Bombyx mori: one gene and its partner. The protein of the gene in region 1 purifies or fractionates together with the protein of each later gene. This does not show direct contact. Links are inferred from orthologs where the notes say so. Each region holds a gene or a part of one and is shown in the gene's direction. Other genes may lie near its edges.

Evidence for each region. The genes of interacting proteins can lie anywhere in the genome.
Region 2: the proteins of glucose-6-phosphate 1-dehydrogenase (region 1) and histidine--tRNA ligase, cytoplasmic fractionate together in Homo sapiens (co-fractionation; 3 studies listed by BioGRID). This does not show direct contact. The link is inferred for Bombyx mori from reciprocal best matches to the Homo sapiens genes G6PD and HARS1.

Annotation. Positions count from the first base shown.
Region 1 is NC_085110.1:6,612,924-6,617,752, reverse strand, and holds glucose-6-phosphate 1-dehydrogenase, read left to right. Parts: upstream 1-1,365; 5' UTR 1,366-1,794; coding exon 1,795-3,276; 3' UTR 3,277-4,170; downstream 4,171-4,829. UniProt on the Homo sapiens protein: Catalyzes the rate-limiting step of the oxidative pentose-phosphate pathway, which represents a route for the dissimilation of carbohydrates besides glycolysis.
Region 2 is NC_085119.1:11,015,421-11,018,848, forward strand, and holds part of histidine--tRNA ligase, cytoplasmic, read left to right. Parts: intron 1-272; coding exon 273-479; intron 480-1,085; coding exon 1,086-1,380; intron 1,381-2,499; coding exon 2,500-2,600; intron 2,601-2,985; coding exon 2,986-3,168; intron 3,169-3,428. UniProt on the Homo sapiens protein: Catalyzes the ATP-dependent ligation of histidine to the 3'-end of its cognate tRNA, via the formation of an aminoacyl-adenylate intermediate (His-AMP). Plays a role in axon guidance.

The DNA of each region.
Region 1 (4,829 bases):
TTTAATGTGCTTAGGTCGTCAACATGAAATTTCAAAAAATTGTAAAAATCTAATAGGTGTTTTTTGTTGAGAGGTAGAGCGTAAGGCATAGTCTGCTGAACGGCATCACGCTTTAACGTTTTTTAGGATTGAAGTATAACTGGCGATAAGCTGGCCTGCAGGCCTTTCCGGTTTCTCCAGGACAGGTGGGCGACCACGGGTTCAGTCAGGAAGGGTGCGGTTTGCTAGCAACGCCTCCGAAGGAGACCTAACAACTCAAGAGTAGCTGCTTCGCGAATGAATCTGCTACCGCATCGGAATCGCAACCGCGAGAAAGATATGGTTCCCGATTTCTTTCTTGACTTCATTAGCAGTAGTGGGGGGTAACGCGTCTGAAAGTGCCAGGAAATCTCTGCGCTTGACCTTCTTGTCCACTAACTTAGTGTTTTCGGGGTTCGTGGTTCGAACACTGGTTGACTTGCTCGTATAGTGCTTCGGCCAGTAGCTCAGCCTTGTCATCGTGATCGTAAGCAGGGGGTTACCCTGAGGTGGATACGAAGGGGAGCATAGTTGTCTTGGTTCCTGATTTGAGACTCCTAGCTAGACGCCAATACGCTTAGTGAGAGGGCGCGGTCCTTCTAAATAATTTTCCCACCTTGTGCTACGGGCTTCGTTTAGGTGAGATTTGGCGTCCCACTGCAAACGATTCATCCAAAACCCGTTCAATTCAATGGGATAAAGATCGTAAGGCCGAATTGATGCATTCCTAACTTTTAGGAGTTTTCTGAGCTTGGGGACAGTCTAATGCGGTAAACAGTAGGTATGTCGTCGTATGTGTTTTAAGAAAAATGAAGAAAGAAGAAATGAATTTCATTGAAATTAAATTGTATTAAGTTGAGTTTTAATGAAATAGAATGAAACGATATTGTATCATACGAAATTAAAAATGTCCCAATTAAATGTTGGGAATTCATTGCGACTTCAGTGAGATTTTGGAAATACCAATTTAATACACTGCGTTTGTTAATTTTTTTCATACCTTCACATATTAACAGTTGCTAAATGGTTAAATTAAACTGAAGAAATACTAAAATAACAAAAATAGAAGAATGGACACAGTTGTTTTGATGTTCTTGTCAAAATCTCCAACACGACTTAGGCAGACAATAGTCAATTTTCATAGCTTTTTTACCCATTGGTCACTGTCCATGCAATTTGCTACATATTACCAAACATTTCAATATATTATGACAAACAAAATACCTTATAGCATACTTATGTGATTTGTGGCAAAGAATACTATGCATTACGGAACCTTAAATAATAAGTGTCTATGACGTAGACTAAATAGGATATCGCGACTGTTTACTGCGACTATCTCAAATATTAAGTGTATTATGCTGCGACTGGTATATAGTCGTATTCGTTAGTTTGTTTCTAGCTTTAATTTTTATTCAGCATGTTTTTATGCGATTTTTTAACCTTGAAGGAATACATTGCCACTCAGTACTCACTCAACAGTGAATTGGGTGGAATTGGTCCCGGCTACATTTAACAGTGTAGTGTTGGAGCGTGAACAATTTATATTTTGTCTTTTAAACCATAAACTATAGTACAATATACTGCGGTGCTTATATGAATAACAGTAAACGAAATTTTCAACTTTCCCCACATAGAAAGTGTAACATTTAACAAAATAATAAGTAATTTGACGCAGAATTTTACAATTTACTTGCTCGTGTTTGATTGTTACAATAAAAAAACACCAAAACAGTAGTCCAACATCATTGTAGAAGTTCTTGTATTGAAACAAACATGGAAAACAAAACTGAATTTGATTATCCGCATACATTTGTACTCCTCGGTGCGTCTGGGGACTTGGCTAGAAAAAAAATTTATCCTACTATCTGGTATTTATATCGTGACAACCTTTTGCCGCATAACACCAAGTTTATTGGTTATGCGCGTACTAAGCAATCTGTTTCCGAAGTAAGAGAAAGGTGTCAAAAGTACATGAAAATACGCCCAGGAGAAGAAGAAAAATTAGAGACATTTTGGAATGCCAATAACTATGTAGCGGGATCTTATGATGGAAGAATAGATTATGAGTTTCTTAACCGAATCATCAGTAATCACGAGAAGGGCCCTATTGCAAACAGAATTTTTTATTTAGCTGTACCTCCAACGGTCTTTGAAGATGTTACTGTAAACATAAAAAATGCCTGTACATCTAGCAAAGGTTTTACTCGTGTTATTATTGAGAAACCTTTTGGACGTGATGATGTCAGCTCTGAGAAATTAAGTAATCACTTAGCTGGACTATTTATCGAAGAACAAATCTACAGAATTGATCATTACCTTGGTAAGGAAATGGTCCAAAACTTGATGACCATAAGATTTGCAAATCAAATATTCAATCCAGCTTGGAATAGAGAAAATATAGCATCTGTTCTTATATCATTTAAAGAACCATTTGGAACTGAAGGTAGAGGAGGGTACTTTGATGATTTTGGCATAATAAGAGATGTCATGCAAAATCATTTACTACAAATACTTTCTTTAGTTGCAATGGAAAAGCCTGTCACTCTAAATCCTAATGATATTAGAGATGAAAAAGTGAAAGTTTTGAGGCATATCCAACCAATAGAATTAAAAGACATTCTAATTGGGCAGTATGTCGGTAATCCTGAAGGTCAAGGTGAAGAAAAATTAGGTTATCTGGATGATCCAACTGTGCCTGGAGACTCCTTAACTCCCACATATGCTCTTGCTACTTTGTGGATCAACAATGCAAGATGGCAAGGTGTCCCCTTTATTCTAAGATGTGGAAAAGCTCTGAATGAAAGAAAAGCAGAAGTTCGTGTTCAGTATAAAGACGTTCCAGGTGATATATTTTCTGGACATGCAAAACGAAATGAACTGGTCATAAGAGTCCAGCCAGGAGAAGCCTTATACTTAAAAATGATGTCTAAATCTCCAGGAATGAAATTTGACTTAGTTGAAACAGAACTAGACCTCACTTATAGTGCACGCTACAAAGAAGCCAGTGTACCTGATGCATATGAAAGGCTCATATTGGATGTGTTCACTGGTACCCAAATGCATTTTGTGCGTAGTGATGAATTAAAAGAAGCATGGCGAGTATTTACACCTATTCTCAAAGATCTCGAAGATAATCACATTAAGCCAGTGCCATATGTTTATGGATCTAGAGGTCCTAAAGAAGCTGATGATAAACTGGCTGGATATGATTTCAAGTATTCTGGGTCTTATAAATGGAAAAAACCTATTCATTGATTTAAAATAAGTCTGTATTGGTTTTCAGGTTGTAGGTAAACTTGGGTCGGTTTTTATTTTAAAGGTGCATAATAAACATATACATATTTAAAATTTGATCAACATTTCATCAATAACTCAATTCTGAAGGGTGAAAAGGAGGATTTAAGTTGACTGTGATTAAAAGACAAAAAGCAACTAATAGAATGCTGTTTAATTACCACATAAATTTTTTTTCACTGGTATGAAATGCTTAGTTTTGTTTCCATACTTAACAATTAAAGAAAACTTTCTGCTACTATTAAAATATATAAGTATACATAATTTCTTAATCTCAGAACTTTTTCTGTATTGTTACTTTAGAACTGAAGTATCAATGTAGATTAAATGATTAAAACTTTTAAGGTCATTTTAAGGTTAATGTGGCTGGTATAGATCTGAATGCATTTAATTACTAATGAAGTCTTCCATTGACAGCACAATAATGAACAATTGTATATTGAGTATCTATGTACATACTTAAAATTTAAAATTGTAAACATTCCACTTATCAATATGTTAGTAAATATGATCAACAAATTTGAATAGGGGACCAATTTATCAAATATGGTTGTGCTTGTGCCTTATTTCTTGAACATAATCATAAAAAAATTATTTCTCGAATGTAATCATAAAAAAATGACAGAGTAATTGAATGAAAGCTGTGATAATCACGTGGTTTATGTAATGAATCACGTTCAATGGTGTATGTATTTATAAATGTTAAAGGTCATATTTTGAATAGATATTATCAGCTTTTTGGTTTCGAACGATTATTGTTGCGTTATACACAACTTAAAAAAATTAAGTTGATTAAGTGTATTGTAAAATTAATTTTCTTATTGTATTTCATGAAATAAAAATGTCTTGTAACAATGATTAGTTATATCATCGTACCTGCTTTCACTAACAGTAGTTAAATGTTAACAAGGAGTACACACCTATGCCTGAATATATGTCATACATTTTCGATCTCAATAACAATCAAGTTTGTATTTACTACTAAACCAAATTTAATACATACTTATCTAACTTACTAACTTTTTTATTTTTTTGCTTTGACGATTTGCAAATCACTAACATACTTACTTTACCACCGATGCCAATAGATTATTAAATAATAGTCATGGCCCAAAGAATAAGGTGGTCAAACAGTAAGGGGTTCAAATCTGGCAGGCCAATATCAACTTTTCTGGACGCGGCAGAAATAGGGTTACTAGATATCTTAGCTAAAACCACACCACATGGTGGTTGATAACCAGTTATATAAGCTATCTACCTAAATGAACAGGAAATTATCTTTTTTTTTTGTCTCACTTGTGCTGACAGCCTTGAGAGGCTATTTCAGCTTCACCCTAACGTGTGTAGGTGAGCTCACGGGGCTCAAACCGGAGTGTTGCTAACATTGACCCTAGCAAGAGCAGTGCTTCGCAGAATCTACCACCGGATCGGAAACGCGACCCACTGAGAAAATCCGGCGAGAAACTCAGTGGGCTGTGTTAATTCGCTCGTCGAGCCCTTCGTCGCCAGCGAGG
Region 2 (3,428 bases), on another chromosome or scaffold:
TGATTGCAAATACATATAATTAGGTTTTAAAAAATACTTTTTTCTTTAATTTAATTCCGTGGTGTGGTGGTTTTTGGATCTTAAAATATGTATGGTACTTTGCAACTTGACAAAAAAGTTGTCTGTTGTCTTAAAGTTGAAATTTTTATTCCGATTTTCCCAAGAAGCCAGAAAATTAATCAGTTCGTTAAGGTTGTGGACAATGATTTTCGACTACTAAAATATTTTACCAGAATACTTTATCAACAATACAATTTACGTTTATTTTTTAGGACTTTGACATAGCTGGTATATATGATCCTATGGTACCTGATGCAGAATGCTTGAAGGTAGTGACAGAGATCCTAGAGGCTCTTGACATAGGACAATATATCCTCAAAGTGAACCACAGAAGATTACTTGATGGAATGTTTGAAGCTTGTGGAGTTCCCGCAGATAAGTTTAGGACCACATGCTCCACAGTTGATAAACTAGATAAGGTAAAGCATTAAAAGATACAAATTATAAATAAAACATACCTGTATATCATGCATAGTACAATAAATCTAGATTCATATAAAACAAAACAAAACTTATTGTAAAGCGCTAGGGCTACTAACTGCTTTAATGTCATTTCTGCAACAGTTTTATAGTCAACATGACAAGACTACATTTATCAAGAATATTCCCGATAGAACTACTCGTTTTGATAAGTGTTTTGGCTATTTGATAAAAAATGGCGTTGCACTTCCCCAGTGTTCTCGATATTACTAGTTCGTTAGATATTTGTTTCTGCTATTTGATGACAGATGGCGTTACTCTTACCCGCATAACATTATTTTAAAATCAGTCTGCTATAACTAAAATAATTGTAAGTCAATAAGGATTTACAGATTGTAGGCCCTCAGGCTAAAAAATAATAATAAATATAATCCAAAAGTGAATGTAATTGATATGTTGAGACAGTCTCAAGTTTGAATGTAGTGATAATATTCTGTAGACTAAGTCAGGTGAGTTGTAAGCTCATTCACTCACTTGCACCTAAACAATAAACCTTAAAAAAGTGCATGCAATTTTGGGTATTAATGTCAATTTATTCATTTTAGTCACCATGGGAGGAAGTAAGAACCGAAATGATTAATGAAAAAGGTGTGTCACCTGATGCAGCAGACAGAATTGGAGAGTATGTACGCTTAAACGGTAGCACGGAACTGGTAGAGAAACTATTGAAAGATGAGAAATTATCTAAAGTAAAGGCTGCATTAGAAGGTGTAGAAGCAATCAAAACTTTGCTACAGTATTGTGAACTCTTTGGCATTAAGGATAAGATTCTGTTTGATTTGAGTCTTGCCAGAGGATTAGATTATTACACTGGTGTTATCTATGAAGCAGTGCTTACACGTAAGTTTAATTCATAATGAAAATGTTTTGATTGAAATCAAATACTACTTTTCTTGTTTTTTGAATTAAAATTGTAATGGTGGTGCTAATAAAGCCGCACAATAATAATTACGTTTAGTCTTAAGCCACAATAACCCATCAATAACTAAACATTAAGAAAGTTTGCATTACATTGGCCTTTTTATGTAATAACTTTTTAAAGATAAGTTGATAAATGAATGGCGTATTATCCTTTTTTTATTAAATTAGTAATACAAACTCATTTCATAGAAAAATGTGATTTGGCCCATTTAGCTCCAGAACTCAGAAATAATAATTGAATTATTTTACTAATTTTGAAAAAATTAGACATATTGTAACAAAGGTGGGGTAACTGGTACATGAGTTTGAAGCTGTTGTGGGCTAAAGGCTAAGGCGCCTGTAGTGCTAATATCAAACAATGCAACTACGCCTATGTTTAAATCCTTAGGACGGGATTTTTTAATGAAATACATAATTAACACATGCTCACGAATGACTTTGCAATGAAGGAAGAAAATCTTGTAATAAAAGCTAAACCCTCGCGTCGAGATCGTTATATCCGATCGGTAGGATCTTTAGCTATTGCACCGGCTTTTACGGGCCTCCGGACGATTAGGTTTTTGAAAAAAAAACTATTTTGAGTTATTTAACGTCAGGTTTTAGCTCCGTGAGCTCACTTACTCGCCCTGTGACGCTGATATGGTCTCTCAAGACCATCAGTTTAGGTAGTAAAAAAAAATTGCCGCTATGCAAATCGAAATCTCCCCGCGACTCCTCCCCCCTGAATGTATCCTGTTCTTCAACTATGGGCATATCTGCGCAGAGCTCCGCGTCGTCGTATATTTTTAGCTTCTACAAATGCCGGTGCTGTCGAATTTTAACAAATCTTCATTAATTATTATCACGTTTACTACAGCCCCTTTATCGTATGAAATAAGAAATTTACACTTCAATTAAAATGGTAACATTAATGATTATGCTTTAGCAAAAATGTTAATTTGATCGTTGAAGCACGATATTAATTATATAATACCGACAATTAGATTGATTGTAATTACCCTTAACGCCTAACTAACACGAATTGTTATTTCCTTCTAGAACCTATTAAAATTGGAAATGAGGAACAAACGGTTGGATCCATCGCTGGCGGCGGAAGATACGATAACCTCGTCGGCATGTTTGACTCAAAAAACAAACAGGTATTTTGGAATGTCGAATAAATATTTAAGCGGTAGGCAGCCGCCTGGCTCTACCCCTGGCATTGCTGGCGTAATTTCGTGGCATAAGATCTATGCAATCTAATTTACTACGTTTTGTTTATTTTGTCCACTCATCAAAAGTATTTGGAATGATTTTTTAATGGTTGCAAGAAACTGACGACTCTCAGTCAACATCATTCTCCTGCCCTTCTCCCAGTTACCTGGGGTCGGCGCAACATGTTTTCTCCTTCCATATTCTTCTATCATATACCATTTCTTCGCTCACTCCCTTCTTACCCATATCGTCTTTCACGCAATCCATCCATTTTTTCTTAGTACAGCTCTCAGTATGAATTGCAAAATAATTAAATAATTATGTATACAGGTGCCATGTGTAGGTGTGAGTATTGGCGTTGAGCGTATATTCTCGGTACTGGAAGCGAAACTCGCCGCCGGTGACATAACGGTTCGCACAAGCGACATTGACGTGTATGTAGCGTCAGCACAAAAGAACTTCCTAGAGGAGCGCATGAAAATATGCGCTGAACTGTGGGATGCTGGGATCAAGGTGACGTGATTTTTTTTATTGACACTTTAAAATTTTCATAAATTACGCAAATTTTAATAAGGCTCAGTGTGTTTTATCTAATTTAACATATGAAATAAATGAAGGTTTTTTTTTGTTGGTGATCTATGCATTCTCACATTTTGTATTCGATTGGTTTTGGTATAATATGTTGATAATTCAGGGAGGGTTTTTGTAATAGTACAACCAACTTACATGTGGTTGTATTTTACGAGTATACATTTTTTGCGATAGTTACAGCG